7 linked regions of the Canis lupus familiaris genome follow. The protein of the gene in region 1 interacts with the protein of each later gene in a biochemical or structural test. Links are inferred from orthologs where the notes say so. Each region holds a gene or a part of one and is shown on either strand. Other genes may lie near its edges. The genes, in order: SIN3A, SMARCA2, KLF16, MECP2, ZBTB16, SMARCA4 and MXD1.

Region 1 (3,500 bases):
GTGGGCCAATAGGTACACCAGCATTGTCTTCTGTAGCCTGCTCTTGCCTCTAATAGGAGAGAGACGCAAAGTATTATATGACATATCTCCAGCAACAACAAACAGACCTACGAGACGGCACCAGCAGTACATGCCATTATCAACCATAGTGGCAACTGTTTTCTAATCTGAAACTTGCAGAAACAGATCTAGATAATGCGGGAGGTGTGGTTTAACACCATAATAGTGGTTCTTCTAGATTGTGAAGACTTACTGGGGACAATTGGACAAAATTGGGACTATCTTTTAAAATTCTGTATTAGGGCAGCCCCGGTGGCGCAGCGGTTTGGCGCCGCCTGCGGCCTGGGGTGTGATCTTGGAGACCCGGGATCGAGTCCCACATCGGGCTCCCTGCATGGAGCCTGCTTCTCCCTCTGCCTGTGTCTCTGCCTCTCTCTCTCTGTGACTATCATAAAAAAAAAAAAAAAAAAAAAAAAAGAAGTGTGAGGTTTAAAAAAAATAAAATAAAAAATAAAATAAAATTCTGTATTAGTGGGGAGGCATGGGTGGCTCAGCAGTTTAGCGCCTGCCTGCCTTTGGCTCAGGGCATGATCCTGGAGACCCGGGATCAGGTCCCGTGTCGGGCTCCCTGCATGGAGCCTGCTTCTCTCTCTCTCTGTGTCTCTGCCTCTCTCTTTCTGTTTCTCATGAATAAATAAATAAAACCTTTAAAAATAAAAAAATAAAATAAAATTCTGTATTAGTATTTATGGATATGGAGGATACAACAAGAGGCCTACGACTGGAGGTCTAGAATCTTGGGTGAGGGCCACTGGGGTAGCTCAGTGGTTGAGCATCTGGCCTTTGGCTCAGGTTGCAATCCTGGGGTCCTGGGATCGAGTCCCGCATCAGGCTCTCTATGGGGAGCCTACTTCTCCCTCTACCAATGTCTCTGCCTCTCTCTGTGTCTCTCATTAATAAATAAATAAAATCTTAAAAAAAAAAAAAAAAGAAGAAGAAGAAGAAGAATCTGGGGTAGGGGTGTGGGAGGTGACAGATTTAAAACAATTGGCAAAATAGAGATGCTTATTTAAGCTTATAGAAGAGCTCATTTTACTATTCTCTCCCTTTTCACATATGTTTGACATTTTCATGATAAAAAACATTATTTTATTTTATTTTTAAAGATTATTTATTTATTTATTCATAGAGACAGAGAGAGAGAGAGGCAGGCAGAGACACAGGCAGAGGGAGAAGCAGGCTCCATGCAGGGAACCTGACATGGGACTGGATCTCGGGTCTCCAGGATCACGCCCTAGGCTGCAGGCGGCGCTAAACCGCTGCGCCACCGGGGCTGTCCAAAAACATTTTTTTTATTTTTTTTATTTTTTTATTTTTTATTTTTTTTTAAAAACATTTTTTTTAAACTCAAGATCACATAACTTTTAGGAATTCTCAATCATACTATATTTATGTGTCTATCCCCACCCCATGACTGTGAGCTTGTCCAAGAAAGCAGGATTAATTTCTTAATCATCTCTGTACCCTGGCTCCCAGTACTATATACACTCCTGGTAAGTATCCTGAATAAACAACGATTAGAAAGTGTCTGGGGATTAATGATAAGTGTTTTGGTTGTGGGAAGTTGAGAGGAGCTACGTGAATGAGAAAAGGTATCATTTTGAGGGAAACAGACGGGAAGACAAGTGGAGGAGGGAGGCAGCAGGCACAGACAAAGCCAGGATAGTAAACTGGGAAACTAGTAAAGCAGTTTAGGAATAAAGGTGAGGCTTAGATTTAAAATGTAGAATCAGGAATAGAAGTCTGTGACAGTTTTGAAGCAAGAATCACCTTGTCTCGGAGGGTCTTCTTTCATATAACAAAGATAATTTCCAGGAATCAAAGCCAGGCTGAACATAAAGACTGGGGTCCTCTCACAGATAGAGAAACTTCCCACTCACCTCATCATAGATGCTCTCAATCTCGTTGAGTAAGCTCTTTGACCTCAGGACCTTGGTGTCGTTCTGTTTAAAGTTGATGCCCTGGTGGTCCAAAGACTTCAAGTAGTATTTCTCATTTTGCTCTCTCCACACCTTGTTAAATCCTCTCTGAGCTTCTCGCCATTCTTCCTCTTTCATCTTCAATCTGGTGAGGGGTGGGGGGTGTGGAAAGGACAAGACATGGGAATTCGGATGTGGGAGTTCTAAGGGAGGGAGTTAAACTCTTTGGATTTGAATCCTGGCTCTGCCATACTAGACTCTGTTTCCTTATTGGGAAAATAGGGATGACAGCGCCTACTCTCCAAGGTTTCCAAGTGGGAAATGTGTCAGACTTACTTTCTTTCAAAAGTCAAAAGATATAACAGGTCTGTCAAAATTATTGGCAACTTGGGATACTGTTACTGAAATTGTTATATTGTTATTCAATCCAGGCTTGAACTCTGTTACATGAGGAAATAACTCCTCCAGGACTTATTTAGGGGAAGTGATTTGTCCCAAAGTCAGAAATCTTACCTCGAATAGTTATTTCTCAACATCATTCCACCCAATACCCTTAAAAAGGGGTTTACTTTCTTGGCCGGCTAAAACAAGCACATCTCTTTGCTGCAGGACTTCTAAGAATGTTCACTATGCTAATATAAATGCAGAAGTCCAAGAGCAAAGAACTTGCACAGTAATGCTCCTTTGCACACAATTTGGGAATTTCTGATGGTAACAACAGATCTTAACACTCTAGAAGTGTAGAAGAAAGTAAAATCAAAACCAGCACTAGAACTGAAGAATATCCTACGTCTCAAAGCCAAAGTTAAATGCTGCTGGCATGGCAAGAAGAGAAAAAGCCTGTGCCAGCTCTTGAGCAAAGTCTGGGGAGGAACAATAAAATCTGGGCATCTGTGAGCTGTGCAGCAGACAAGAGTTTGCACCACCCGTCTCAGGTGGAACTGAAAGAGGACCCAGCTGTTAGCTGGGATTCCATGTGGTCCAAAGAGCCATGGACTTAAAGGAGCCTGGGGCTCACCCTAGGTCTGGCCTCCTCCTTGATGCCTGGTCTTATGTGGGTACAACAGCCCCTGTACACCTCAGGCCGAAGGCTTGTCAGGAGGTAAGATGTTCTTGGTAAAAATGCCAAGCTAGTAAGTCTTTTTAAATAAACCACCAATTTTACAAAGACAAAGAGATTTTTCTTATTAAAAAACAAAGATGTTAACAATGGTTAGTACTGAGTGGCAGGAATGTGGGTGGCTGTATTCTGCTCTGTTCTTTTCTGTATTTTAAAATATTCCCTTAAACACACAGAGCATTCCACTGTGGACTTTCAAGGTTTGTTCTCTATTGCTGGTTACACAGAAACCCTTCAAGAAGCTCCACTATCCCATGCTGCACCTAATTTCCAACCACCAGCATTGAGGTGAAATAGAGGCCTCATGGAATAACCAGGTTGAAAATGAAGGCCGTATTTAAGGGGACACCGAACCTGTCACGAAGCACACTAAAGCACGAAGAACATATTCAGTTACCTTT
Region 2 (4,123 bases), on another chromosome or scaffold:
AAATAATAGGCCCCTGATTTAAAATCTCCTAACATTCTTTCACACTTCATAAAACTAAAAATAAAATTCGTCTCAGCAAACACTGACCTATTCCGCCAGCCAAAGAACTGTATTTCAAGGAGAATTGGAACAAGAGGTCTCCAAACTGCCAAGTGCCAGCAGTTTACTGTTTGTAGCCTTAATCGGTCTGCAACGTGAGGTGGGAGAGGACAGACTGTGGGCTGCCCAGGATAAGAGATTTAGTCCCTTTCTTAAATCAAAAGCAGATTCCACGCTTCAGCTGTCCCCTCACCCGCTCGCCCCGCCCCCACGGGGTTGTTTTTCCCTATCTATGTCTTCCTTGTATGCATTTTATTCGAAGATGACAGGTGAGGGAAGCTTCACGTGCCGCATCTGGTCCGCAAAGTAAACAGAGGGGTTAGGGTGGGCTTATTTATTTACAAGGCATTCAGCCTCTCAGCTGTTTTTCCCTCGTTGGCATTTGGAAGCTTGCCGTCCTTTAGAAAAGAGACAGATTTGGCAGGAATGTTCTTTGTGCCCGCCTCCCTTTTTTACGGGGGAGAAAGGGGACAGATTTATAATTACAACCTTGGGTGGGGGGGGGAGGTAACGGGGAGGGGGGTGGCGTAGAAAAAGTTTCAGCCGGCACGACAATGCCTGCTTTTTTTTTTTTTTTTTTTTTCTCTTCTTCTTCTTTTTCTTTCACGGTCCACACTGTGCAGTGCACTAACAGCTCCGGTGCCACTCGGAGCCCTCCCCCGGTCCCCTCCCCTCTTCCCTCTGCAGGCGCGCTCCGGCAGGCGGAGGCACAGTTAAATTCCAGCACCTTCTCCACCTACCCCCAAACTACTACGCGCTATTACTACGGCCGCCCTCCCCACCCCCCACCGCGCGTCGGGGTGGCGGGGCGGGGGTGGGGGGCGCCCGGCGACGTCCCTTCCAAAGCTCCCCCCTCCCGCCCCGAGGTCGACCGCCGGGAGAGGGATGTCGGACGCCCAAGTCCTGCGGGGCTCGCGGCGAGCTCTGCGTCCTGCGCAGTTTCTCCGCTCCAGGCACCAGCACGGCCCGGGAGCCGGCGCCGCGCAGACACACACACACACACACACACACACACACACACACACACGGATCCACGCATACAGTAGAGCCGTCTCGGTGCACATTCTTGCACACCGCCCCCTCCTCCGCCCCCCCCGCCCCGAGCTCCCGGAGTCGCTGAGCGGGCCGAGTGACAGGCGCGTCCCGCCAACCCGCGCCCGGGCGGGCAGGGAGGAGCGGCGCGCGGGGCCAACTGCGGCGCGTCTTCCGGCGCCCGTGGAGGCGGCGAGGGTGGGACGCGGGGCGGAGCCCGACTTTAGGAAGAGGAGGGGATGGCTGTCATCAATGAAGTCATATTCATAATCTAGTCCTCTCTCCCTCTGTTTCTGTACTCTGGGTGACTCAGAGAGGGAAGAGATTCAGCCAGCATACTCCTCGCGAGCAAGGTAAATATAACTTACAACTCCTTTCTCCTCTCCCCCCCCCCCCCCGCCCATCCCTCCCTCCCTCCGGCCTCCGGGGCTGCAGCCGCCGCGCAAACCCCTCCGGCACCGCGCCGCCTTCGCCGGGGAGTCTTCATTATTATCCTAATTATTATTTATTGTGCATGCACGGAGACCAAAACAAACAGGCGGGCCAACCGCCGCCACCGCCACCACCACCACCACAACAAAAAAGCCCGCCTCCTCCCCGCGGGCCTCAGGTGGAATGCTCTAACGACAGCTCCCGGGCGGCCGTGGAAGAAACGGGAAAGTTTCAACCGAACCTTGCTGTTCTAATAATAACAGTAATAATTACTACTTCGGGGAGGCGAGGGGCGGGTGGGGGGGATCCCGACACAGCACAGCCTTGACCCCAGGTAGGCAGTCAGCGATGCGCTCGCTGCCAACTCAAGGTTGCAACACACACACACACACACACACACACACACACACTCCGCAAGGTTGCAATCCCCCCCCCCCCATCCCCTCGAGGCTGGGGTAGGGCGCCGGCTGGAGGACCCGGGAGGAGGATGGAAAGGCGACAGTTCACCCCGAGCCGTCCTCCCCGGAAGAGTTGGAAGGGGCGCGGGAGAGGAGGGCGAGGAGCCCGGGCTGGCGGCGGGGCGCCAACGATCGCGGCTGCCACCCGCCTCCCGGGGACTTGTTTAAAGGGCTCCGGTTGCCGAGACGCGAGCCGATCGCGGCGGGAGGAGCCGAGGCTGGCGCGCCCGGGAGGCGGCAGCCACCGCCGCGGGGCCGGTGCGTGCAGGATCGGAGGTGTCACCTCCACTTTGCGCGTTCCCTCGGGCGGGGAGGAGGACGCTGACCGGTAGGCAGGCCCTTTTTAGGCAGAGGGGTTCCCGGGGCGCTGCGCCCGGGGCTCTGCGGACGTGCCCGCCTCTGGTACCTGGTACCTGGCGGCCGCGCGGGCTCGGCTGTTGAAGTTCGGGGTGTCCGGCCCGGGCCGCGCCGCCGGCGGGGAGGGAGGAGGCCCCAGGGAAGGAGGTCGGAGGTGCCCGCCGGGCTCGGTTGCGCTGCCCTCCCCCTTCCCCGGGTTTGTTTTCGTTGGCTCGGCGTCTTTCCCCCCAGCCTGAGCCGCGGGAACCTCGGGCGTGGGTCGCCCGCGATCGTCGGGGTGCTAGGGGCTCGCCGGGGCCCGGGAGAGCCACGGCGGCCGCGGGCCGGGAGGCCATGATCCGGATAATCCTCTCTGCCTGACTGTCACAAACAGGACCCGCGCGCACCCGGCCAGCAGTGGTGGCGTTCGCCGGAGAAGGGGAAGGGCTGCGAGGGGGTGGGGGGTGGGGGGTGGGGGGAGGAGGAGGGCGGGGGTGGGGAGGGCGGGAGGCGGGGAGACCGGGTGGGAGCCTCCTCCCCACGATGACACGCACCCCTTCCTTCTCGCTCCCTGCTTTCGAGTTTGCTTTATTCCCATCCCAACCTGATTTACCCCTTCCTCTGCTCTCCCCCTCCATCCGGCCGTCTTCCCTCCTCCCGTTTGCGTTGCAAAACAGGGCCATGCCATCTGCAAAGGTGTCGCGATGCACTTCCCCAAATAACCGGTCCGGCGTGCCCGTCCCCAGGCGCCCTCCGGCTGCGGGCGCACCCCGAGCCCGGTGCTCCGGGTGCCCCGCACCAGGCCTCGCAGCCTGGGCGCAGTTGCAGCGCGCGGGGCGGGGCGCAGCAGTGCGGGCTCCCGGGGACACCCGTGCCCTGGCCCCGGCGCCCGGCCGGTTTCCGGTACACGCGGGGAAATCGCCTCCTGCCAGCGTCTTCGCGCGCGCCCCTGCCTCCGCCGCCTGGATTGCATTATTATTTTTATCCGGGTTGCAGCTTTGCGGCGGATCCTGGTGAGCGCAGGGCAGGCCGGCCTGCTGGGGGTGGGGGCTGGGGTGGGGAGGGAGGGAAGTTGGACGTGGATCAGGCAGGAAAAAAAAAAAAAAAAAAAAAGTTTGGCAGGGCGGCTAAGTAGGGAGGGGGTGGGAGGGGGCGGCGAGCTCCCGCGGCTCGCGCCTCCGCGCCCTCGGGGCCGGCCGAGTGTGTCTGCGCGTGAGTGTGCGTGTGTGCTGCGCGCGGGGCCGGGCCGGTGCCCCCGTCGCGGGTAGGGGCGCGGGCGGCCGCGGGGAGCCCGGGGAGCGCCAGGCGAGGTTCGGCGGCGGGGGCGGGCGGGGGTGGCGTGCGCGTGTGCCTGCGAGTGTGAGTGTGAGTGTGCGCGCGCGAGCGGCAGAGAATCAGGAAGTCACAGCGGCGAAGCGCACACAGACATGTTTGATCGCCGTGACATGACGCGCGCGAGGGAGGAAGCGGCGGCGGCGGCGGCGGCGGCGGCGGCGGCGGCGGGGGCCGGGCCGCGGGCTCGGGCGCGGGCCTAGGGCTCGGGCCGGGAGCCCCCTCGGGCCGTGCGGCCGCCGCAGGCTCAGCGAGCCCCGCGCCTCTTTTTGTTCCGCGTCCCCCAGGTAAGGAGCCTGCGCCGGCGCCGCCCGCCGAGCGCGGAGCTTGCCAGCGCTCTCCCTGCCGGCCCCCGCCGGGCTCCCGGCTCGCCTTTCCTGCAAAGTCAGGCCGGCGGGGGCAGCGGGCTCCTCGCCCTGCGATCGATCGCGTGG
Region 3 (4,101 bases), on another chromosome or scaffold:
TGGCCAGGCCCTGCTCCACGCCTCGGTCTGCTCCTCTGTAGAACGGGGCGAGGCTGGACAGGTTCCCTTCACAAAGAGGGGTCCTCAGGCAAGAAGGGAAGGCAGGGCGCTCTCCCCAGGGCCCTCTGCGGGTGACCCAGCTGACCTCAGGTCACCGTTCCTCATCAATCTGTCGCCAGGCCCGTCCCTGGCAGTGGGCTGCACCACGCTGGCCTTGGGACGTGGCGCCCAGCCGGGCAGAAGGGCACCGTCCCCTCTACCAGGACCAAAAACGCCGAAAAGGGCCTTTAGGCCTCATAGCCCTGGGGGTGGCGGAGACGCTGAGCGCACGGTCTCAAGAACACGGGTGCCTGGAACCCTCGGGAAAGAGCGCCCAGGGCGCCCACGTCAGGACTTCCAACCTCCCTGGCAGCAGCCGGCCGGGAGCTGCGCCCTCTGGGTTCCCCCGCCACAGCACAAAGGGGGCTCACACACAGGACCCCAGAGCCACGGCTCCCCGGGGACTAGGGACCCAGCAGGGATGGCGCCCCCCCGGACACCCCCGGCCCGGCTGAAGAACCTCAATTCCTCATTTAAAACATGAGCGGCAACGTGGAGAGAGGCGCCCCCACTGCTGGACCCACAAGGGTCCGCAGGATTCAGGGACACCCCGCAGAAACGCCTCCCGGGATTCGAGCTGGGAGGTGGCCTGGCCGCCCCCTTCTGCCCACCAGAAACTTGGACAGGACCCAGAAGAGGGAAAAACAAATCATGACACCGGGGGTGGGGTGGGGGGTGGTGGTGGTGGGGGTCGGGGGGGTGGCTCACCATCCGACAACTAGCGAGGACTGGTGACAGGACAGATGCGGGACGACAGGAGGGTTGCGGTCCCTCTCCGGCCAGCCTCCCACCGCGGCACCCCTGCACTCAGACGGGCCAGCGGGGCCCTGCTCAGACCCCAGTGCCCCCCCTCCCAGGAAGGAATATCTCCCCCGAGCCCCAGAGAGAGCCCCCCCCCATCTCAGGGACTCCAGACATCCTTCCCACAGACACACACACCTCACTGCGGCTCAGGGAAGACGGGGGCTCCAGGAGGACACGGTGATGCCACCCCACGTCGGCCCTGGCTGTGCTGCCCTCTCGTGTGTCCACAAGTGGGGCAGAGCATCTAGGCCCCGTGGACAGGGATGAGGGTAGCCCAGGAGACAGGCGCGCAGCCCGAGGTTGCCTGCCTGGCATGGGAGGCCGTGCAAGGGGCCTGGGGCTGCCCAGGCTGCGTCCCCACCACACCCTAGGGCCAGCCTGCTTTCTTGAACCCTCTATACAGCTGGAGCATCCACAGCACCAGGGCTGCTCACGACCCCCGCAGCCACCCTCGGAAGGCAGAGCCCACACACCCTTTACACAGATGAAAACACTGAGGCCCGCAGTTGGTCACGGGCCTGGAAGCGGCAGAGCTGGAACCCGAGTGCATCCTCCCAGCCCGTGCCCAGACGCCCACCCCTGCTCCCCTGCCCTTCCCGGAGGGCAGGACCCCCCTCAATCCTCGCGCCCTGGCCAGGCACCGAGGCCCACCTTCCCCGAGCCCCCACCCAAACCCTCAGGGTGCACGATGGGGCACCCGCAGGAGAACAAGGAGGATGACAAGGGTCGCTGAATCCTCCCTGCCACCTACCGCGAGGACCTGACTCCCTGGAGGCCGCCCCCCCCCCCGCCCCGGCGCGCACTCCCAGCCCCGCCCCCCGCCTTATTAAAAACAAGAATCGCGGGGAGCGCCCCCAGCCCGGCCCCCGCTCCAGGCGCTCTGCTGCCTGCCGGGGCGGATCCTCGCTGCCACCCCGGAGGCGGCCTCGCGGCTCCTCCCCCGCTCCACGGACGGGGAAACCGAGGCAGGGGCCGGGAGACGGCGCAACCCGCGAGCTGCGCGCCCCCGCCGCGGTGTCCCCTCCGCAGACACGAACGCGCCAGGACAGAAGAGAGAAACGGGGACGCGGGGGAGGGGACGGCCCGGCGCCCCGGGGCCGCCCACGGACCCCGCCGCGCCGCGCGCCCCGCGGCCCCACCGTCCCGCCCGCCAACCGCGCGCCGCCCGACCGCGTGGCCGCCACGCCCCCTGCGCGCGCCCCACCCACCGAGGCCCCGCCCTCCCGGCGGCGCGGCGGCGGCCCGGGCGCGCCCCCCTCCCCGCCCCCCACGCGCCACGCAGTTTGGGGGTCCCGGAGGGGGCGGGGCGCGGGGGGCCGCGCGCGCGGGCCGGGGCGCCGGGGCTCACCTGTGTGCGTCCGCAGGTGCGACTTGAGGTGCGAGGACTTGTAGTACGCCTTGGCGCAGCCCGGGAAGGGGCAGCGGTGGCTCTTGGCGGCGGCGGGCGCGGCGCCGGGGGCGCGGCCAGAGGACGGGGACGAGGCGGCCGAGGACGAGGAGGCGGGCGAGGCGCCCCCCGGGGCGGCGCCGGGCCCGCTGCGCAGGTCGGCCAGGATGCTGGCGGCCAGCAGGTGGGGCGCGGCGGCGGCGGCGGCGGCGGCGGCGGCGGGGCCCGGGCCGGAGGCGGCGGGGGGCGGCGGCGGCGGGCCCGGGGGCCCGGGCGGGGCGGCCTCGCGGCGCGGCGCGCGCACCTCCAAGCCGGCGGCGGGGCCCGCGCCCTCGGGGCCCGGCCGCCCGCGGTGCACCACGGCGCCCGAGGAGATGGCCATGAGCACGTCGGCAGCGAAGTAATCCACGCACGCCACGGCCGCCGACATGCCGGGCAAGGGCGCGCGGCGCGGGCGAGCGGGCAGAGAGGAGGCGGCGGGAGCGGTGCCCGTCCGGCCGGCGGCGGCTGCTCGAGTGCGGGAGGCGGAGGAGGAGGAGGAGGAGGAGGAGGCCGGCGCGCGCCGCCGCCGCCGCCGCCCGCGCTCGGCCCGCCCCGCCCCGCCTGACGCGCCCTGACGCACCGGAGCCCGCGGGGGCGGCCGCGGCCCGCCCCGCCCGGAGGACGCCCCCTCGGGGCGCACGGCCACGCCCCCCGCCCGGCGCGCCCTCCGCCGCCCTGCCCGCCGCGCGCGGCCGCCGGGGGCGGGATCTGGGCCGCAGGAGCCGCCCCCGTCGCGCCCACTCCGCCCGGAGCGCGTCCCCGCCTGCTTCCCGGAGCGCGCCCTCCCCACGCGGGGCCCCCAGCCCGAGACCCCGCCTTTGGGGCCTGCGGCGCGCGCCCCCGTGGGCTCCTCGGAGCACCCCCTCCCCACGCCGGCAAGCTCCGCCCGTGCCCGGTGCGCCCCTCCCTCCCGGGCGCGCCCCGCCCCTCCCGGCACGCCCCTCCCGCCCTCCCGGCGCGGCCCTCCCTTCTCGGCGCCGCCCCGCCCCCTCGCGGGCGCGCCCACCCCACGCCAGGGCGCGCGGCCGGCGGGAGCCCGCCCCTTCCCCGGACGCTTCCACCCTGGCCCGGGGCGCGCCCCCGCTCTGGATGGGGGAGGGCTCCGCGCCCCACGTGGCCGGGTGGGGGTGCGGAAGCGGCCAGCCCCGCCCCCCGGCCACGTGCGCGACCCTTCCCCCTCTCCTCTCCCCGGCCCCGGGCCCTGCCTGGCCGCGCGCCCCTTGCCCCCTCGCCCCCTCGCCCCCGTCTGCGGGAGCCCCGTGCGCCTCCCCGGAGCCCGCGGCTGGGCCCGAGAGGACTGGGGCGCCCCGCCCAGCCGGCGCCGGAGAACCTGCGCTCGTTCCTCTTCCTGCGCCCCCTTGGGGGTCATTTGTGCGCACCCCCCGAGGAGTAGGGGGGGCCGGTGTCGGCCGGAGGCGGAGCGGGGCCCGGGGGTCGGGGCGAGGAGCGGGTGGGGTCGGGGCGCCTCGGCGAGGCGGAGCCTTCCGGCCCTGCCCAGGACCCGGCGCTGGGGACATCGCGCCCCGCCGCCTGGACTCGGGAGGCCCTGGGGACGTCCGGGCCGGGTGGTTCAGTGGCGAGGGCGCCGACGGCCGGGGCGGCCAAGCCCGCCGTGGGGGGCGGGGGTCACGCGGAAGTGGGACGACAGAGTGGCCCTCTCCGCGGCGACCGCGGCCCCGCCCCTTCCTAGGCCGCCGGTGGGGGCCGGGCGGTGGCGGGCGGCCTCCCGGGAGGGGAGCGGGAGCGGAGCTGCCTCTGCGTGCCTGCGG
Region 4 (4,168 bases), on another chromosome or scaffold:
TCCTGATACTAACCCACCTTTGGCAGCTTACTGACATCATTTGAGTCTGGTTTCCAGTACATACCACAGTGCCTCCATTGGAGTCTCCACAGTGTGAACAAGGGGGTTGCTTGGGGTAGACTGGCCATGAGGCAGTGACCAGTGCTGACACGAGCCACATGGGACAGGGCAGCTCTAGGGCTTAGATATCAAGGGCAGGAATAGTCTCATTCTCTTCTAGACTGAATTGCTGAGAGACCAGCAGATGGCTGGTTCCAAGCCTCCCCAGCGTGGGTGGTGTTCCTGCCCTCTTAGCCCTGCTTTAAGAACACCACGGGCGGACTGATTCCAGGGTCCAGGGCCTTTCCAGTGCACACAAGGAAGGGACCCTACCAGGTGGAGCCAAAATAGCAGGAAGGAGCTGCTCTGTCAGTGTGAAAGCATAAGGAGGTGCCCACCCTGGAGTGGGGAGGGTGCTCTTCTGTGCCTTTGTCCTTGCTCTCCCCTTCTACTGGTTGAGTGTAAGGCAGTCATGGCTTGTAAAGGAATGTCTGATAATAAAAGTTTAGCAGACCTGGGGTGCCTTCTCCTCACTCCAGAACCCTGGGCAGCAGTTTCTGGTTGCCCGAGTTGGCTAGTGTTTATATGGTGCTTTTGTGACTTTTCTTCCTCTGGGGTGTTGGTGCCTATTACCAAGATGAGGAAACTAAGGCACGGAATGTTGAGGTCACTTGCTCAGGTCCATGTTTAGAAGTTGCCAAGTCAGAATTTGAGCTCAGGTTGGGCTGGCTCCAAACCTGTGTGTTTTCTCCACAGCACTGTGCTGTGCCTTATCTCCCAAGGGGGTAGTGCTAGGCTCTGCCACCATCAGTAAGTTGCATCGTGCTCCCTGACTGTTTTATCAAGCACACATTTGAGAAAACTTACAATACAGAAGCTATACTAACACCCAAGCCAGGTCTTTCGTGAAGAGGAGCCCTGGCCACATTTTGGGTGGGCAGCTCCCTCTCCAGTAGTCAAGGGCCTCTTGTCAGCCATGAAGTCTAGAGACTGTTGGGCACAGCTTGTAAAGTGGCCTCTTCCGAGGCAGTACACTGAGAAGCCACCTAGTGTTTCTACCCAGAAAAATGCCGCTCATTCTCCTGCTTGTTAGGAGTGGGACTTGGGACAGAAGGACTCAGAGTGGTCACAGTGCAGGTAGGGTAAAGCCCAAAGCCCCCAAAGAAATCTTTGAAGGAGAAAGGCATCAGGATCTGGGTGAGCATCGGTGGGGCAGCCCTGTCTCTCAGAGCCCTGCCTGTGCTGGGGTGCCCCAAACCCGCCATTGCTTACTTTTTCTACAAATCGGTGTGTTCCCTGTGATACTTACATACTTATTTAACACTTCAGGGAAGAAAAGTCAGAAGACCAGGATCTCCAGGGCCTCAAGGACAAACCCCTGAAATTTAAAAAGGTGAAGAAAGAGAAGAAAGAAGACAAAGAGGGCAAGCATGAGCCCCTGCAGCCACCGGCTCACCACTCTGCTGAACCAGCAGAGGCAGGCAAAGCGGAGACCTCAGAAGGGTCAGGCTCAGCCCCAGCTGTCCCGGAAGCTTCTGCCTCCCCCAAACAGCGACGCTCTATCATTCGTGACCGGGGACCCATGTATGACGACCCCACTCTGCCTGAAGGTTGGACCCGAAAGCTTAAACAAAGGAAATCTGGCCGCTCCGCTGGGAAGTATGATGTGTATTTGATCAAGTAAGTAAGGGCAACTCCTGTCTCTACAAAGCAGGGAAGGCTGGGTGGGCAGGAGGCTGGGGCCAGGTGCTGAGAAACTAATGGGGATCCCTTAGAGTGGCAGCTCTTTTTTTACTCGATGATCAGGAAAATGTGTGTATATCACCCATCTTGGGCTGGGGGTGGCTTCAATAATGAACACCACTTGCAGACCCCTCCAGGTATGTTTCAAATGACTGTGTACAGAGTTCACCGCCCTGAGTGTGACTTTACCCCACCAGCCCTTGAGGTCTTGTCTGGAGATGGCATCGCAGTAGGGCCTACCCAGGGCCACAGTGAGGACACAAGAAAGAGAGGTCGCCTGAGAAACATTGAGGACACAAGGCCCTGCCCAGGCTGGTCCCAGAGGCCACAGGACCTGCCATGTGTAGTGGCCTGTGCTTGGAAGGCAAGCAGGGCTCTCTGGGTTCCTCTCATTTCCCAGCTGGGAAACATCCAGCTGATGGGCTCTTCTCAGAACCTGTTAAACAACTCTTCTTTCTGTCAGTCATTCCGTGACTTGGCTGCATGACCCAGAAGAAGTAGGAGTTCAGAGGGCTCAGTCTACTCTCTGAATCATGTTGGGAAAGGTGAGCTCTCTGACAGGGCCTCTGGGGACACATTGGTGTCTCTTCATGTGCCTTTCCAACTGTCATTGGTGCATTTGTCCAGCTTTGAGCTGGTCATTGGGCATTTTCTATTGAAACAGTGTAATTCAGGGATCCCTGGGTGGCGCAGCGGTTTGGCGCCTGCCTTTGGCAGAGGGCGCGATCTTGGAGACCCGGGATCGAATCCCACGTTGGGCTCTCAGTGCATGGAGCCTGCTTCTCCCTCTGCCTATGTCTCTGCCTCTCTCTCTCTCTCTGTGTGACTATCATAAATAAATAAAAATTTAAAAAAAAAAAAAAAAAAAAAAAAAAAAAAGAAACAGTGTAATTCCCAAGCCAGAGCTTCAGAGAAGGACTGAATAAATACATTTCAGTTCTGGCCCTTAGATGATCCAGAAAAGATAAACAGTTTATTTGCAGACATCCTCATTTGATCGCAACAACTCTGAGAAGGGTGAACAAAAAGCATTATCCTACTGACAGATGAGGAAACCGATCCCAGAGAGGCTAAGCAGCATGCCCAGGTTCAGACAGAGAGGAGTGCTTTACTTACTGACTGGGCCCAGGCACCAACCAGCAGAATGCCTGCCCCTCAGCCTTCTGGCTCAAGCGGGTCTCCAGGCCAGGCCCCTTTGGGAGCCAGAGGAGGGGCCTTGGTGGTAGGCGGATCCTCAGGGGCAATAGCTGCAGAGCAGCTGACACCCAGCTGTTCTTGTCACTGGAGCACACCCTGTGGGTGCTCTCCGCCGCCCAGCAACCCAGTTGCTTTGTGTGTGACCATGCCCCTCTAATTTCAGCCCATTTTGGCTTTTCTCTAATGTGACTCTCATTGAATAGTATCATCAGGCAGGTCAATTGCAGAACGTCCTGTCACAGAATTCAGCACATTCTTCCTGCCCCATCTTTGTACATTAGCGGGGAAGCTTCTAATCGTTCTTTGTGTCTCTCCATTTGTTCCCACAGTCCCCAGGGAAAAGCCTTTCGCTCTAAAGTGGAGTTGATTGCGTACTTCGAAAAGGTAGGCGACACCTCCCTGGACCCTAATGATTTTGACTTCACGGTAACTGGGAGAGGGAGCCCCTCCCGGCGAGAGCAGAAACCACCTAAGAAGCCCAAATCTCCCAAAGCTCCAGGAACTGGCAGAGGTCGGGGACGCCCCAAAGGGAGCGGCACTGCGAGACCCAAGGCAGCAACATCAGAGGGTGTGCAGGTGAAAAGGGTCCTGGAGAAAAGTCCCGGGAAGCTGCTCGTCAAGATGCCTTTTCAAGCTTCGCCCGGGAGCAAGGCTGAAGGGGGCGGGGCCACCACGTCAGCCCAGGTCATGGTTATCAAACGCCCAGGCCGGAAGCGAAAAGCCGAGGCTGACCCCCAGGCCATTCCCAAGAAGCGGGGCCGAAAGCCAGGCAGTGTGGTGGCAGCTGCCGCCGCAGAGGCCAAAAAGAAAGCCGTGAAGGAGTCTTCCATCCGGTCCGTGCAGGAGACTGTGCTCCCCATCAAGAAGCGCAAGACTCGGGAGACGGTCAGCATTGAGGTGAAGGAGGTGGTGAAGCCCCTGCTGGTGTCCACCCTCGGCGAGAAGAGTGGAAAGGGACTGAAGACCTGCAAGAGCCCCGGACGGAAAAGCAAGGAGAGCAGCCCGAAGGGGCGCAGCAGCAGCGCCTCCTCACCCCCCAAGAAGGAGCACCACCACCATCACCACCACTCAGAGCCCCCGAAGGCACCCGCGCCGCTGCTTCCGCCCCCGCCCCCTCCCCCACCTGAGCCCCAGAGCTCCGAGGACCCCGCCAGCCCCCCTGAGCCCCAGGACTTGAGCAGCGGCGTCT
Region 5 (4,278 bases), on another chromosome or scaffold:
CGCTTGCCGTCAGCCCGAGGGGCTGCGGGGAACGAGGAGGGGCCACAGAAGGAATGGAAGCCGGGCCCCCCGAAGTCCCTCCGCGGTGCGGGCGCCCTGGGTCCCGCGGGACACCCTCGGCTCACCCAGACACCCCCCTCGGCTGCAGCGCCCGGCCCCGCGGGCGGGGGGACGCCGGCGCCGACCCGCTCCGGCTCTGGGGATCGACCTCGCGCGCGCGCACCCCAGTCCCAGCCGCCCCCACGGAGACTTGGAAGCGAGTTCGGCAAACTTGGGGAAGCAACTTTTCCCGGGGAGCCAGACCGCAGGAAGAAAAGGAGCCGCGTTGGGCGAGAGGAGAAGCGAAGGGAGCCGGGCGCGAGGCAGAGTCCGGGCGGGCTGGACGCTGGGCGCGAGCGGGCGCGAGGAGGCGGACCCGCCCCGCGCCGGGGGAAGCACAAAAGCCCGACAGCGACTCGGGGAAGGAAAGGCGAGCAGGGAGCCGCCGGCCCTCCCTCGCCGGCCCAGGGCCGTGACCCCCGGCGGCCGCGGGCAGGCTGCCCGGCGCGGCACTGGGCGAGCGCCCCGGGGAGCGCGAGGGCACCGCTGCGGGCGCGTCCGTGCGCGCCAGGGGTCCGGGGGCGCCGCCGAGCGCACCTCGAGCGCGTGCGGGAGCCTTCGGGGGGCCGCGCGGGGAGCTGCGGGCGCCCGGCCTGGGGGACGCGTCCCGACGCATCAGGTGCAGAGCCCGGGCACCCCCGAGCGCCGCCCGGAGCGCACCGCCAGCGCCCGCGCCACGGCCGGCCCCGCCGAGAGCCCCGAAGACCCTCCGGAGCCCCGCCACGGCCGCCCCTCCCCCGCCCCGGAGACGGGTGGGGGTCAAGCCCCGTCCGGAGGAAAACAGACCCCACCACGTTTTTCAAAGAGAAAGCAAGCCCAAGTGGATCGGAGCCCCGCTCCCCTCCGCCCCCAGGTCCGCTCCTCGGAGCCCCGGATTCTAGCCTCGCCGCCGGCCGGCAAATAAACACAAACAGACCACAACCCTGCGCGCCCGCGCACGGGCCGCGTACCGGGGAGCGCCCGCCGGCTCCGGCTCCGGCTCGGGCTCGGGCTCCGGCTCGGGCTCGGGCTCCGGCTCCGGCTCCGGCTCCCGCCGCCCCGCCGCCCCGCGGGTACAAAGCCTCCGGCTCTCCGACCCTCCGCCCGCGCCCTCCGCGCCCGCGGGCCGCTCGGCCCCCACCTCCCGCCCTGGGGAGGCAGCTGCGCCCAAGCTGACAGCCGGGCCCCCCCGCAGCCGACCCCCAGCCCGCGGCGGCCGCAGCAGGAAGGGAACGAGCCGAGCGAGGCGCACAGCCCGCGGCCGAGCGGCCGGAGGGAGCGCGCCCCCCGACCTCGCCGGCCCCGGGGCGCCCCGGCGCGCGCCCCCGGCGAGCGGTGCGCCCCCGCCGGCCCTCACTCACCGCCGCCGAGCCGGGCGCCGCGGGTGGGTGTGCGCGCTCGGGGGCGTGTGCCGCGTCGGGGACGGCTGTTGCTGGGAACTGTTGCTCTCGTCTCACGGCGGCAGCGGCGGCAGCGCCCGGCAGTTCGCAGTACCCGCTCTCATCGCCCTCAACTCCTCTCTGCTGCGAGGTTAGCAAATCACCACCGGCTGCGGCGCCTCCGCCGCGTCCCACGTCAACGCCGAGCCCCCTCCCCTGCGAGGCCCCGGCGCCTCTCCATCTTTAGTGCTGGCGGCCGAGCCCGGCGCGCTGCCCACAGCGGCCCCCCTTCCCTCCCCCCTCCCGCGCCGTCCCCGGCCTCAGCCCGCCCACCCCACCCCACCCCCCCGGACTGGCCGAGCCCGCGCGCGCTCCCCGCCCCACCCTCCCCTCCCCTCCCTTCCCCTCCCCTCCCCTCCCCGCGCTCCGCGCTCCGGGCTTCGCCTGACATCTAGCTGCTGCTGGGGCGCCGGCGGCCGCGCTCACCGCTCACCGCTCACCGCTCACCGCTCACCGCCCGGGCGGAGAGGGAGGAGGGAGCTCGCGGAGAGCAGTGCCCGGGACTCGGGACCCTTGGGGGGGGGGGGGCAGCTCCCACCTTCCACCCCAGGCTTTTTTCCTTTCCTCCGGGCGCGGAGTTTCGTCCCCGGCTCCAGTGTTTGCCCCAATCCCGTGTGTGTCATCTCGCCTTTCACTTTGCTCCGGGCTCGGGGCCGCCTCCCCGGGACCGCGACATCGGTGGCCGGAGGTCCCTTCCGCGGCCCGAGCCCAGGCCTTCTGTGCCTCCAGGCGCCGGGCATCCGGATCGCGAGACGCCTCCGGGCGCGGTTCCCAGGCCCTGGGGAGCTGGTGCCGGAGGGCCACGGGGATCAGCCGCCCAAGGGAGACCCCTCCCCCGTGCTAGCTGCCGGGATCCCGGGAGGCCGAGAGCAACTTTTCTCTCCCCGGAGTCTTGAGCATCCCCTGGGCTCTGCTCCCTTCCTTGCCCTCCCACCCCTAACCCCACCCCACCCCACCCCACCCCACCCCGGGAACCTGGTTGGAGACGGATCCCGAGAACCGCGTCCTGCTCAGCGCAAAGCCTTCAGGGGGCGAGTGAAAGCTGGAAAAAGCTCCAGAGCCCCCAAAAGAGCCTCTTCCTCTCGGCGGGCCTCTCCACCCCAAGGGGAGGGGGGGGAGTTGAGATCACTAACCTCAGGGTAGAGAAGCCAGAGGAAACTACCCTTCCTCGGGCGGTGGGCAGCGGAGAGACCCCTTCTAACCCCCTTTCCCTGGAGCTTAGCGGAGGTAGGGCGCAGGCAGGAGGTGGAAGCTCTCTCTTGAACATCAGCCTTGGTGGCTGGCTAACGTCTGGGATCGTTGGGGTGAGCCTGGTGGTGGAGAGCGCCCTCCCTGGGTCTCCGGACAGTCAGCCCTGGAGGTCATGCGGTCTTAGCCTCGCAGGGGCTTCACTCAGGGAGACCTGAATCCCCACATTCTGTCCCTGACACACTGGTGAGTCAAAGATTTGCTCAGGACTCACATATAATCACGGTGTTTGTCTCCGGTACTGCCCCAGATCTAGAGTCAGGCCCCAAGAACTGTAGGGTCATGGAAGGTGGCAGACACCAACTAGAGGCAAAAATCTGCTTCTGGGCCCCGGAAGGCCAGAGTGCAAAGTGCTCAGGATCACAAGAACAGGCAAAGGGGGAATAGTCCCAGGGACAGGCAGCTCCATTCCTGCAAGCATGGTCCTGTCTCCCAGCGGGGAAAGGGCTTCAGCCTTCTGTTCAGAAGACAGAAGAGGGCAGAGAAGGACGCTTCAAAGTGGAGGGAGGGAGCCAATGACCCTCTGATAGCCCTGAACACAGCAACACCTAACACATCCCTGGAAGGAACAGTCTGGTCCCCGGGTATCAATTCTGATTAACAATAGAGAGCCAGGGCAGCCCGGGTGGCTCAGCAGTTTAGCTCAGCAGTTTAGCGCCGCCTTCAGCCCAGGGCATGATCCTGGAGACCGGGGATCGAGTCCCGCATCGGGCTCCCTGCATGGAGCCTGCTTCTCCCTCTGCCTGTGTCTCTGCCTCTCTCTGTGTGTCTCTCATGAATAAATAAATAAAATCTTAAAAAAAAAAAAAAAACAATAGAGAGCCAGCTCGGTTATGGACTGTTTACCTAGCTAAGGTCTATGCTATCTTCAAGAGGAAGGCATTTAAAGAAAGTTAAGAAAGCACTGGTTGGCCAGGAGAGCAGGAGGAGAGGGATAGAAGAAGAGAAGAAAGACTCTGCTAGAGCCTCAATGGGAAAGAAGAAACCATCTTTGAACTTGGTAGAGTCTCTGCCCGGAGATGGTGCCTGTGCGAAGGTTGCTGCCCTGCCATCCACATCCACCTACCAGCCCCTCCTAAGTGCAGAAGCAGGAGAAGCACACAATTAACCCTTGATCTTAATCTCCTATTAATCCTCAAATCAGAGAAAGAGAGAAGCCTTGGAAACAATGGGAGAACAGGAACAATCCCTCCATGGCCCTGGGCCCCCCCCCCCATGCCATATTCACTCGATGTGAAAATCTCCCCTTGCTTCATAAACCCTGCCCATTAAAAAGCCCAGCCCTTGTTAGTAAGTGTTAAAGAGAGATTAATGCCTGAATTTAAGAGGTGGAGAAGGTAACAAAAAGGAGGAAGGCAGGCGAGGCTGTGGGCTGAGAGCCAGCATTGGGCTCCAAGCGTTTCCACTTAGCGCTGAAGGCTGGCTGCACAGCAGTTTGATAAGGTTTATTGGGCCCAGATAAAGCAGCAGCAGCTCCCCCACCAAAACTGGCACCATTTATAGCCAGAGCTAT
Region 6 (3,500 bases), on another chromosome or scaffold:
ATTTTTAAACTCTACCAGTACTAGATACTGACTAGAGGAGAGCTTTGGGAAATAGAAATGAGCAAACAAACCAAATCATCCTGGATCCTACTCCAGTAGATATTTGGTCTTCCTGACTGACCTTAGAATTGGTAAGTCAGATCACACTAATGGCTCCCACCTTACTCAAAGCAAAGGCTGCAACTGTCCCCTCAGTCCAGATGCTCTGCCTGTCACCTCTCTGTCCTTCCCTCATCCCATTCACTCACTGGCTCCCTCCACTCTAGCCACAATAGGATCCCTGCTGGTCATGGAACACACAGCACATTCCAGCCACCAGGGCCTTTGCAGCTTCCCCTCAATCTGCAAAGCTCATTGCCCTTGGGTCTTTGTGGCTCCCTCCCTCAGGTCTCTGCTCAGATGCTGCCTTCTCAGAGAACTCCCCCAACCATGCTGTGTAAACAGCCCCTCCATCACTCCCCATCCCTGCTTTACATCTCCTTACACCTTGTTACCTCCCAACATGGCATATGTGATTATGGCCTGTCCTCCCACTGCCATTTGGTTACGTCCACTAACATATTCTCTCAGTGCCTAGAATAACTGTTATGATGAATAGAAGATAGCATACTTAGATGCAAACCAAACAAGACACAGCAGCGTGCAAGCTCTGGCAACCCAGGCACACGGGCTGGGGCTCATGGTTGAGCGGGGACGCACCTGGTGCTTCTGCCGGCGCTTGCGCTCCTGCTCAATCTTCTGCTGCTTCTCCAGCTTCTCGGTGATGCGGGCCTCACGCAAGGACTGCCGCTTGCTGCGCTTGTAGGCCTTGGCATTGAGGGCCGTCTCGAGGGCCGTGTCCCTCCTCATGCACACCACCACTTCCTGTCGTAGCTTCACGAAGGAAGAAAAGATGTGCACAGCTTTGTCAGTCACACATAATCACATAGCTCAAGCTACACAGAATGCTGCTCCTTCCAGAAGGATCTGTTCTAAATGCTGTCTGATGAGTGCTCATGGACAGCGCAAGCATGGGTCAGATGACTGTTTCTGGAAACCCAGCAGATGGTTCTCTCCTACCTTCAGGTCTCCAACTTTGCCTCCAGTCAACTACACACAAAATATTTCTAGTGGGTCATTCAAAGGTACAGAACCCTCAAAAAAAGACCCACTAAAGTCTCCTGTTTCAAACTGGCAACTAGTACCTTAGGGAAGACCCTGAGTTACTCATCCTGGGAACAGCTGATATCCCACCACCATGTAGGATATGGACGGGAGAAGGGGACAGCCAGCCAACAAGGATGTGAGGGCACTGCTGCCTTTAATGGTCAAGGCACATTTAACTGCCTGGAAAGCAGCTCTTGGAACCCAAGCATCCATGTTGGCAGAAAAGGTCTTCTCCTCCAGCCTATGCCCACCTGCCTCTGGAAGTTCAGCAGCCTGAGGGCCTTGAGCTCAATGGTCGCTTTGGTTCGCAAATCCCCGGCCAGGGACCCGGGAAGGTTTTCAAGTTCCTGAATTCGGTGGGCGATTCGAGCCTGCAGCCTGGGTTGCAAAGACAGAAGAAAGGAAAGGTGATGAGAGCTCGACTATTCACGGGAGCCCACCTGTTCCCTTTAAAGGTGGAGCCTCGGGGATCCCTGGGTGGCTCAGTGGTTTAGTGCCTGCCTTTGGCCCAGGGCGCGATCCTGGAGTCCCGGGATCGAGTCCCACGTCAGGCTCCTGGCATGGAGCCTGCTTCTCCCTCCTCCTGTGTCTCTGCCTCTCTCTCTCTCTATGTCTATCATAAATAATAAGTAAATAAATATTTTATAAATGAATGAATGAATGAATGAATGAATGAATGAATAAATAAATAAATAAAGTAAAAAAAAAATAAAGGTGGAGCCTCAGGAGAATTCATCCCTCAAGGAAAGCAGATCCTGGTCATGAGAAGGGGAAATGCCTCAGAAAAGGAAGCCAGCCACAACACAGAATACAAAAAGTGGAGGGCAGGCACAGCAAACCCAAACCTGATAGGGTACAGCTGCCTTAGGACCCGTCAGCAGCCAGAGCTGGCTAGGGAGTCAGGTGGACCAGCCTCTTCACTCCAGCCCTGGGACTCTACTCAGCCTGAGGAGACCCCACAGAGCAGCCCTAAAGGCTTGGCCTAAAGTTCAAACGAGATAATCCCCCTTCTTGATGTTTCATGTGTATTTATTAAATACCTACTATGTGCCAGGGACTGATCCAGATGTTGAGCCTTAGCACTAAACAAGACTAACAGGGCTATTTGTTATTCTTATTAAGCTCACAGACCTATCAACACGAAAGGCCAGAAAGGAGTTAAAAAAAATTAAATATCCACATTAAGGCAGCCCGGGTAGCTCAACGGTTTGGTGCCACCTTCAGCCCAGGGTGTGATCCTGGAGGCCACAGATCAAGTCCCACGTTGGGCTCCCTGCATGGAGCCTGCTTGTCTCTCTGCCTGTGTCTCTGCCTCTCTCTCTCTCTCTGTGTCTCTCATGAATAAATAAAGTCTTAAAAAAAAAAAAAAAAATATATATATATCTATATATATATATATATATATATATATATATATATATATATATATATATATCTACATTAATTGTAAAGAGTACCGAGTACTCTGAGAGGGGGGCTGGAAGTAAGGGGGGTGGGCAGGGATTCTATGACCAGGTGACCTCAACAACTGGTCCTAAATTAGCCAAGGAGTCATGCACAGCCTGTGCAAAACCCAGGGGGCAGAAATGAGACTAACTTGCTCAATAGAAAAAGAGGAACAGGGCAAGTGGTGTAGGCAAGGACAGAGCCTTGGGCAGGGGCTAAACAAAAAGGTGCATACTCGCTGGGCAATGGGACACCATAGGCAGATTTGAACCCAGGGAACAGATGCAATGGAAGTTAATTATAAAAAGAGATTTCAAACTGCCATGGGGGAAACAGACTGCACAAGAGATGGGGAGAGCAAGGAGGCCAGCTAGGAAGTGTAGACCAGGTGGCAGGGTCCACAGTGTGGAGAAGGCCACTGGTTTCTGGGATGTGGGAGGGGACCTGAGATAAGGACATGGGGGATGAGGGAGGGCGAGAAACAGTCAAGGGGTGGCAGTGTCTGGCCCAATGAGCTGCTGTTGGGTACATGGAGTAGAGACGGTAGGGAAATATGGGGGACAGGAAGACATCTGGAAAGGCCATGTTAAAGCTGTCCAAATGGAGCTGGAGCTCCAGAGCACATCCCAGCTGGGCGAGGCACTTTGGAGACTGCCATTAGACAAAGATTTACTGATACACCTGGGGATTGGAGTGAACAAGGCACAGCCCCTCATGCATGGAGGCCAGCCCTGAACAAGTTATCAACGCAATGAAGAAACGGGGGAGGGCAAGGTGCTCAGGGGGCGAACCTGAGGTGCCTCAGGCATATGGGCTAGAGTGATACTGGTGCACCGTGTGCCCAGTTACCTTCCCCAGCACCTGGCACCCAGAAGCCCTTGGCAAAGCAGCCAGCAACTAGTGATTTC
Region 7 (3,970 bases), on another chromosome or scaffold:
TTAACCTACCTAATGGGGTTGCACGGAGGACTAGTGATAATGCACGTGAAACAGTAAAGCTCTTATTTTCATGTATTGGCAACAGTAAACTTTTTTTTTTAAGCTGTATGGAATCTGTCCAAGCTGACCAAGACATTTATTCTTCCTTTTTAAAATGCAGATGTCAGTATATTAACAGGGTAACTTGGGCCTCCAGCCGGCTCTCCTCTCAAAAATCTTGATAGGGCTTAAATCCTTAATTTTTTTAGTTCCATATATTTCTATTGGCACCGCCCCCCCCCCCCACAAACCCCATCCATAGTCTTGAGCAGAGAAAGCTTTTTTTTTTTTTTTTTTTTTTTTTTCTTAAACGTTTTCATCGACAATTAAAAGGGAAGGAAAGACCCTGAACGAGACTGAGGTCAAAGAACGTCGTGATAGGACGCGGGTCATCCCGCAGGTGCAGGGCGCCCGGGGCGGGGGCGGGGGCGGGGGCGCGAGCCACGTGGCGCCCGCGGGGGCCCGGCCCCTCCAGGCCGCCGGCGCCCTCGCTGCGGGGGATGCGCGGCGGCGCCCAGGTCCGCGGCGGCCGGTGAGTCAGCGCCGCGCCCGGGGCAGCCCCGCAGCCGGCGCGGCCCGGGGAGCTCGGGAGCTCGGGAGCTCGGCCGCTCACCGCCTCCCGGGTCCGCCGGGCCGGCGAGGTGACGTCACCGGGGCTGGGCGGTCTCGGCGGCTCCGCCAATGGGAGGCCGGCAAGGCGGCTCGCTGCCCCCGCTCCGGCCAATGGCGGCAAGGCAGAGCGGGGCCGTCGGCGTCGGGCCAATGGGCAGCGGGCAAGGAGCACGAGGCGGAGTCGCGAACCCGGCCGCCAATTGGGAGGAGGGGGCGGAGCCCGGGCCTTGTCAAGCGTGACCAACCAGAGAGAGGAGCGGACCCCAGGGGGCGGGGCCGCGGCGCGTCTCCCCAATCGGGCAAGGCCGGGGGCGGGGCGTTCTTCCGGGCGCCCAATGGGGAGCGCGGCCGGAGCGGGCCTGTCAAGAGCAGGGCCTGGGGGCGGGGGGATGGTGAGTCGGAGATAAACACTCGGCGGCGGTGGCGGCGGCGGCTCTTCCCCGGCTGCTGTCACGGTGTCGGCGGCGCCCAGCGCCCCGGGCCCCTCCCTCCCGGCGAGCGCGGTCGCCCGACAGGCTCTCCCCGCCCTGCTCCGCGGGGCCCGGCGGCGGCGGCGAGCCCGAGCGGTGGGGGTTGGTCCCGCGGCCGCGGCCCCCGGTGCAGAATGGCGGCGGCGGTTCGGATGAACATCCAGATGCTGCTGGAGGCGGCCGACTACCTGGAGCGGCGGGAGAGAGGTGCACGGGGCCGGGGGTCCGCGCCGGGCCGGGGCCGGGGGCTCTGCGGGGCACGGCCGCTGGGGGGGCGGAGGGCGCGACCGCGAGCGCCTCCAACCCTCCGGCTGCCCCACGCGCGGTGCGAGGGGAGGCCGCTCCGCCCGGGGGGGCGGGGGTGCGCGGGGTGCCCGGGGTGCTCGGGGTGCACGGGGTGCTCGGGGTGCACGGGGTGCTCGGGGTGCACGGGGTGCGCTAGGTGCACGGGGTGCTCGGGGTGCCGGGGGTGCGCGGGGTGCCCGGGGTGCTCGGGGTGCGCGGGGTGCCCGGGGTGCTCGGGGTGCCCGGGATGCCGCCCCGCGCAGGGCGCACCAACCTGCGGGACGTCCCCAGCGGGCAGCCCGGGCTCCGCGAGCTGAGCCTCAACAATGAGCAGCTCGCTCGCTCCTTGCACCTGCTCCGGACTGAGGGTGCTCACACAATTTAAGGGAGGAGTTTAAAAAAAAAAAAGAAATCCTTGTTCTAAGAATTCCACCTTGCATCGCTTATTTCTTGACACAGAAATTTCTTTTCATCACATGCTCGTGATGAAAAATAAGGTCTACAAGGAGCTCCTGTGCAGGGGGCTGGGGGGGGGGGGAGTGTTGAAGGTTCCAGGCTCATTCATTAACTGGGTCCTCCGGTTTTCTAGAAGCTGAACATGGTTATGCCTCCATGTTACCCTACAGTAACAAGGACAGAGATGCCTTAAAACGGAGGAACAAATCCAAGAAGAATAACAGCAGTAGCAGGTAATTTCGTAAATCTTTCTCTTTCTCTCTCGGATCACGATACAAACTGCAGAATGGAAGTGGCCTGTGGTGATTATGACCCAGGAAAATGCGTTAAGTGGCGATCAGGATTCAGGAAGGCGCACATGGTCCTAAGCCACTGGAGGAAGCAGCCCTTCTGTTTGGGTTGAGGGGACAGAAAGGAGAAATGGAAAAGCTTTGCGCTTCTTTATGAACTTTTTAAACTTAATTTTTGCTTTTCTTCCCTTTTGGAACAACGACAACAACAACAAAAATCTGTGGAAACTTCCAGTGAGATTGGTAACCGTGACAATATTTTGCCTACAGAAGTTGCAGATTCAGGGCAAGCTTTTTTTTTTTTTTTTTTTTTTTTTTTAAATAATCAAAGAGGCTGGACGTTATCCGTTTCTTTTACTTTTCATAGTGAAGATTGTACAGACACGTTAAAGTATCTGATTTAGCCTTAGGGGTAGGACTTCATATTCGACATGTAAATTAAATGCAATGGTTTATCTCCTCTGTTACATCTACTTATAATGGCAAAGAGGAATGATTGAGGTTGAAACCTCCCTTTTGGTGATGGAGGATTAATATTAAAATATTAATATGCCACGATCCTTTTACGTTTGGCTTATAGTTCTTAAAATCTGTGAATCTCACTGGAAAGCAGGTGGTTAAGGGTCCGTGAAATCACATTAAAGCCCTGAGTACCTATGAGTACTCTATAAATGAGAACTCAATAAACCTACCCCCTTTTTTCCCCCCTCTTTGCCCTTAAAATATAAGTTAGCTAGGAAACCTGTTAGGTCTCTTTACTTATACCTTTCATTCCAGTAAATTAAAGCCCCTCACATTTTCATCACTGGCTTACAATCCTTATTCCTCTCCCGCCGTCATGTATAACTCCCTGCAAGTAACTGTATTTGGTCACCCCCTGTGACGTCACACACACCACTAAAAGCCAGGAGGTCCCACTTAAACCTAAACCCACTTGTTCTTGCTGCTGCTGCTGTTGTCCTTGATTCATCCCATTGTCCTTAGTGTTGCTAGAACCACAGGATGTGAGCAGCACCCATGTGCTGGGCTCTTGCCGAGGAAGGAAGGCACGTGAGGGATGAACCTGGTAATTAACCACCCCACAGTTTTCTCTTTCCCTCCCATCTTCCGCGTTACCTGAAAGTGGTAGCGAATAGATCCGTGTGTGGGTATTAGGGCCTGACTTGTATCCTGCAGTGCTATAAAACAATTTAGCTGTGTTGCATCTTGTTAGTCTTTTTTTTTTTTTTTTTTTTAATTTTTGGAAGAATTTTGAAGCTTGTTGGCGTATTTTTTCCTGAGAAGGTAGCCCAACTGTTGCTTTTATTCCTGTCCGTTCATGGTTTAGGAGGAATTGTCCACCTTACTCGTCAAGGCTTAATCCTCAGCACTTTATTTTTTCCTAAGTTTCGCAGGAAAGTTGGGGGAGGTTCAGTGGTGGGGAGAGGAAGAGCAAAGGGTGTTGAGAGAGAGAAGTAGGCTGGTCCCCGAAGGTGATTAGGAAAGAAAAATAATGATAGCTGAGAATCGCAAGCCACGAAGCAGATTCTCTTTAATATCCAACGTTATTACGGAGAAAATAGCTGTGACTTCTGAGTTTGGGAAGAGCTCTCTTCTGTTAATGGGCTTGGTGTGCTTTCCACGGTTACAGACCAGAGGCTGTCACAGTTTCCCATATTCCTGACTAATAATGAATTAGCGTAGTACCTGCGTGGTGCCGGATCTCCGAGAGGCCGTGATTAAGCCTGGAGATGGCACCAAGCAAACGTGAAGCAAGAGCAGGTTGTTTTGTTTTACTGTGGTCACTTCCTTCATGCCCCGTTGGGAATGACCCTTACC

What was found.
Region 2: the proteins of SIN3A (region 1) and SMARCA2 form a complex in vitro, tested with the Homo sapiens proteins (2 studies listed by BioGRID). The link is inferred for Canis lupus familiaris from reciprocal best matches to the Homo sapiens genes SIN3A and SMARCA2.
Region 3: the proteins of SIN3A (region 1) and KLF16 form a complex in vitro, tested with the Homo sapiens proteins (2 studies listed by BioGRID). The link is inferred for Canis lupus familiaris from reciprocal best matches to the Homo sapiens genes SIN3A and KLF16.
Region 4: the proteins of SIN3A (region 1) and MECP2 form a complex in vitro, tested with the Homo sapiens proteins (2 studies listed by BioGRID). The link is inferred for Canis lupus familiaris from reciprocal best matches to the Homo sapiens genes SIN3A and MECP2.
Region 5: the proteins of SIN3A (region 1) and ZBTB16 form a complex in vitro, tested with the Homo sapiens proteins (3 studies listed by BioGRID). The link is inferred for Canis lupus familiaris from reciprocal best matches to the Homo sapiens genes SIN3A and ZBTB16.
Region 6: the proteins of SIN3A (region 1) and SMARCA4 form a complex in vitro, tested with the Homo sapiens proteins (2 studies listed by BioGRID). The link is inferred for Canis lupus familiaris from reciprocal best matches to the Homo sapiens genes SIN3A and SMARCA4.
Region 7: the proteins of SIN3A (region 1) and MXD1 form a complex in vitro, tested with the Homo sapiens proteins (4 studies listed by BioGRID, with this or other methods). The link is inferred for Canis lupus familiaris from reciprocal best matches to the Homo sapiens genes SIN3A and MXD1.

What each region holds. Positions count from the first base shown.
Region 1 is NC_049251.1:38,697,407-38,700,906, forward strand, and holds part of SIN3A (paired amphipathic helix protein Sin3a), read right to left. Parts: coding exon 3,497-3,500; intron 2,125-3,496; coding exon 1,941-2,124; intron 50-1,940; coding exon 1-49. UniProt on the Homo sapiens protein: Acts as a transcriptional repressor. Corepressor for REST. Interacts with MXI1 to repress MYC responsive genes and antagonize MYC oncogenic activities. Also interacts with MXD1-MAX heterodimers to repress transcription by tethering SIN3A to DNA.
Region 2 is NC_049222.1:91,389,160-91,393,282, forward strand, and holds the start of SMARCA2 (probable global transcription activator SNF2L2), read left to right. Parts: upstream 1-1,323; 5' UTR 1,324-1,484; intron 1,485-2,213; exon of another isoform or gene 2,214-2,349; intron 2,350-3,237; exon of another isoform or gene 3,238-3,370; intron 3,371-3,955; exon of another isoform or gene 3,956-3,976; intron 3,977-4,123. UniProt on the Homo sapiens protein: ATPase involved in transcriptional activation and repression of select genes by chromatin remodeling (alteration of DNA-nucleosome topology).
Region 3 is NC_049241.1:57,569,840-57,573,940, reverse strand, and holds the start of KLF16 (Krueppel-like factor 16), read right to left. Parts: upstream 2,801-4,101; 5' UTR 2,721-2,800; coding exon 2,252-2,720; intron 1-2,251. UniProt on the Homo sapiens protein: Transcription factor that binds GC and GT boxes and displaces Sp1 and Sp3 from these sequences. Modulates dopaminergic transmission in the brain.
Region 4 is NC_049260.1:123,060,762-123,064,929, reverse strand, and holds the start of MECP2 (methyl-CpG-binding protein 2), read left to right. Parts: upstream 1-1,368; 5' UTR 1,369-1,621; coding exon 1,622-1,719; intron 1,720-3,308; coding exon 3,309-4,168. UniProt on the Homo sapiens protein: Chromosomal protein that binds to methylated DNA. It can bind specifically to a single methyl-CpG pair. It is not influenced by sequences flanking the methyl-CpGs.
Region 5 is NC_049226.1:19,302,364-19,306,641, forward strand, and holds the start of ZBTB16 (zinc finger and BTB domain-containing protein 16), read right to left. Parts: upstream 2,801-4,278; 5' UTR 2,651-2,800; intron 1,719-2,650; exon of another isoform or gene 1,440-1,718; intron 1-1,439. UniProt on the Homo sapiens protein: Acts as a transcriptional repressor. Transcriptional repression may be mediated through recruitment of histone deacetylases to target promoters. May play a role in myeloid maturation and in the development and/or maintenance of other differentiated tissues.
Region 6 is NC_049241.1:50,641,208-50,644,707, forward strand, and holds part of SMARCA4 (transcription activator BRG1), read right to left. Parts: intron 1,525-3,500; coding exon 1,398-1,524; intron 874-1,397; coding exon 700-873; intron 1-699. UniProt on the Homo sapiens protein: ATPase involved in transcriptional activation and repression of select genes by chromatin remodeling (alteration of DNA-nucleosome topology).
Region 7 is NC_049231.1:69,850,593-69,854,562, forward strand, and holds the start of MXD1 (max dimerization protein 1), read left to right. Parts: upstream 1-1,170; 5' UTR 1,171-1,255; coding exon 1,256-1,328; intron 1,329-1,995; coding exon 1,996-2,095; intron 2,096-3,970. UniProt on the Homo sapiens protein: Component of a transcriptional repressor complex together with MAX. In complex with MAX binds to the core DNA sequence 5'-CAC[GA]TG-3'. Antagonizes MYC transcriptional activity by competing with MYC for MAX binding.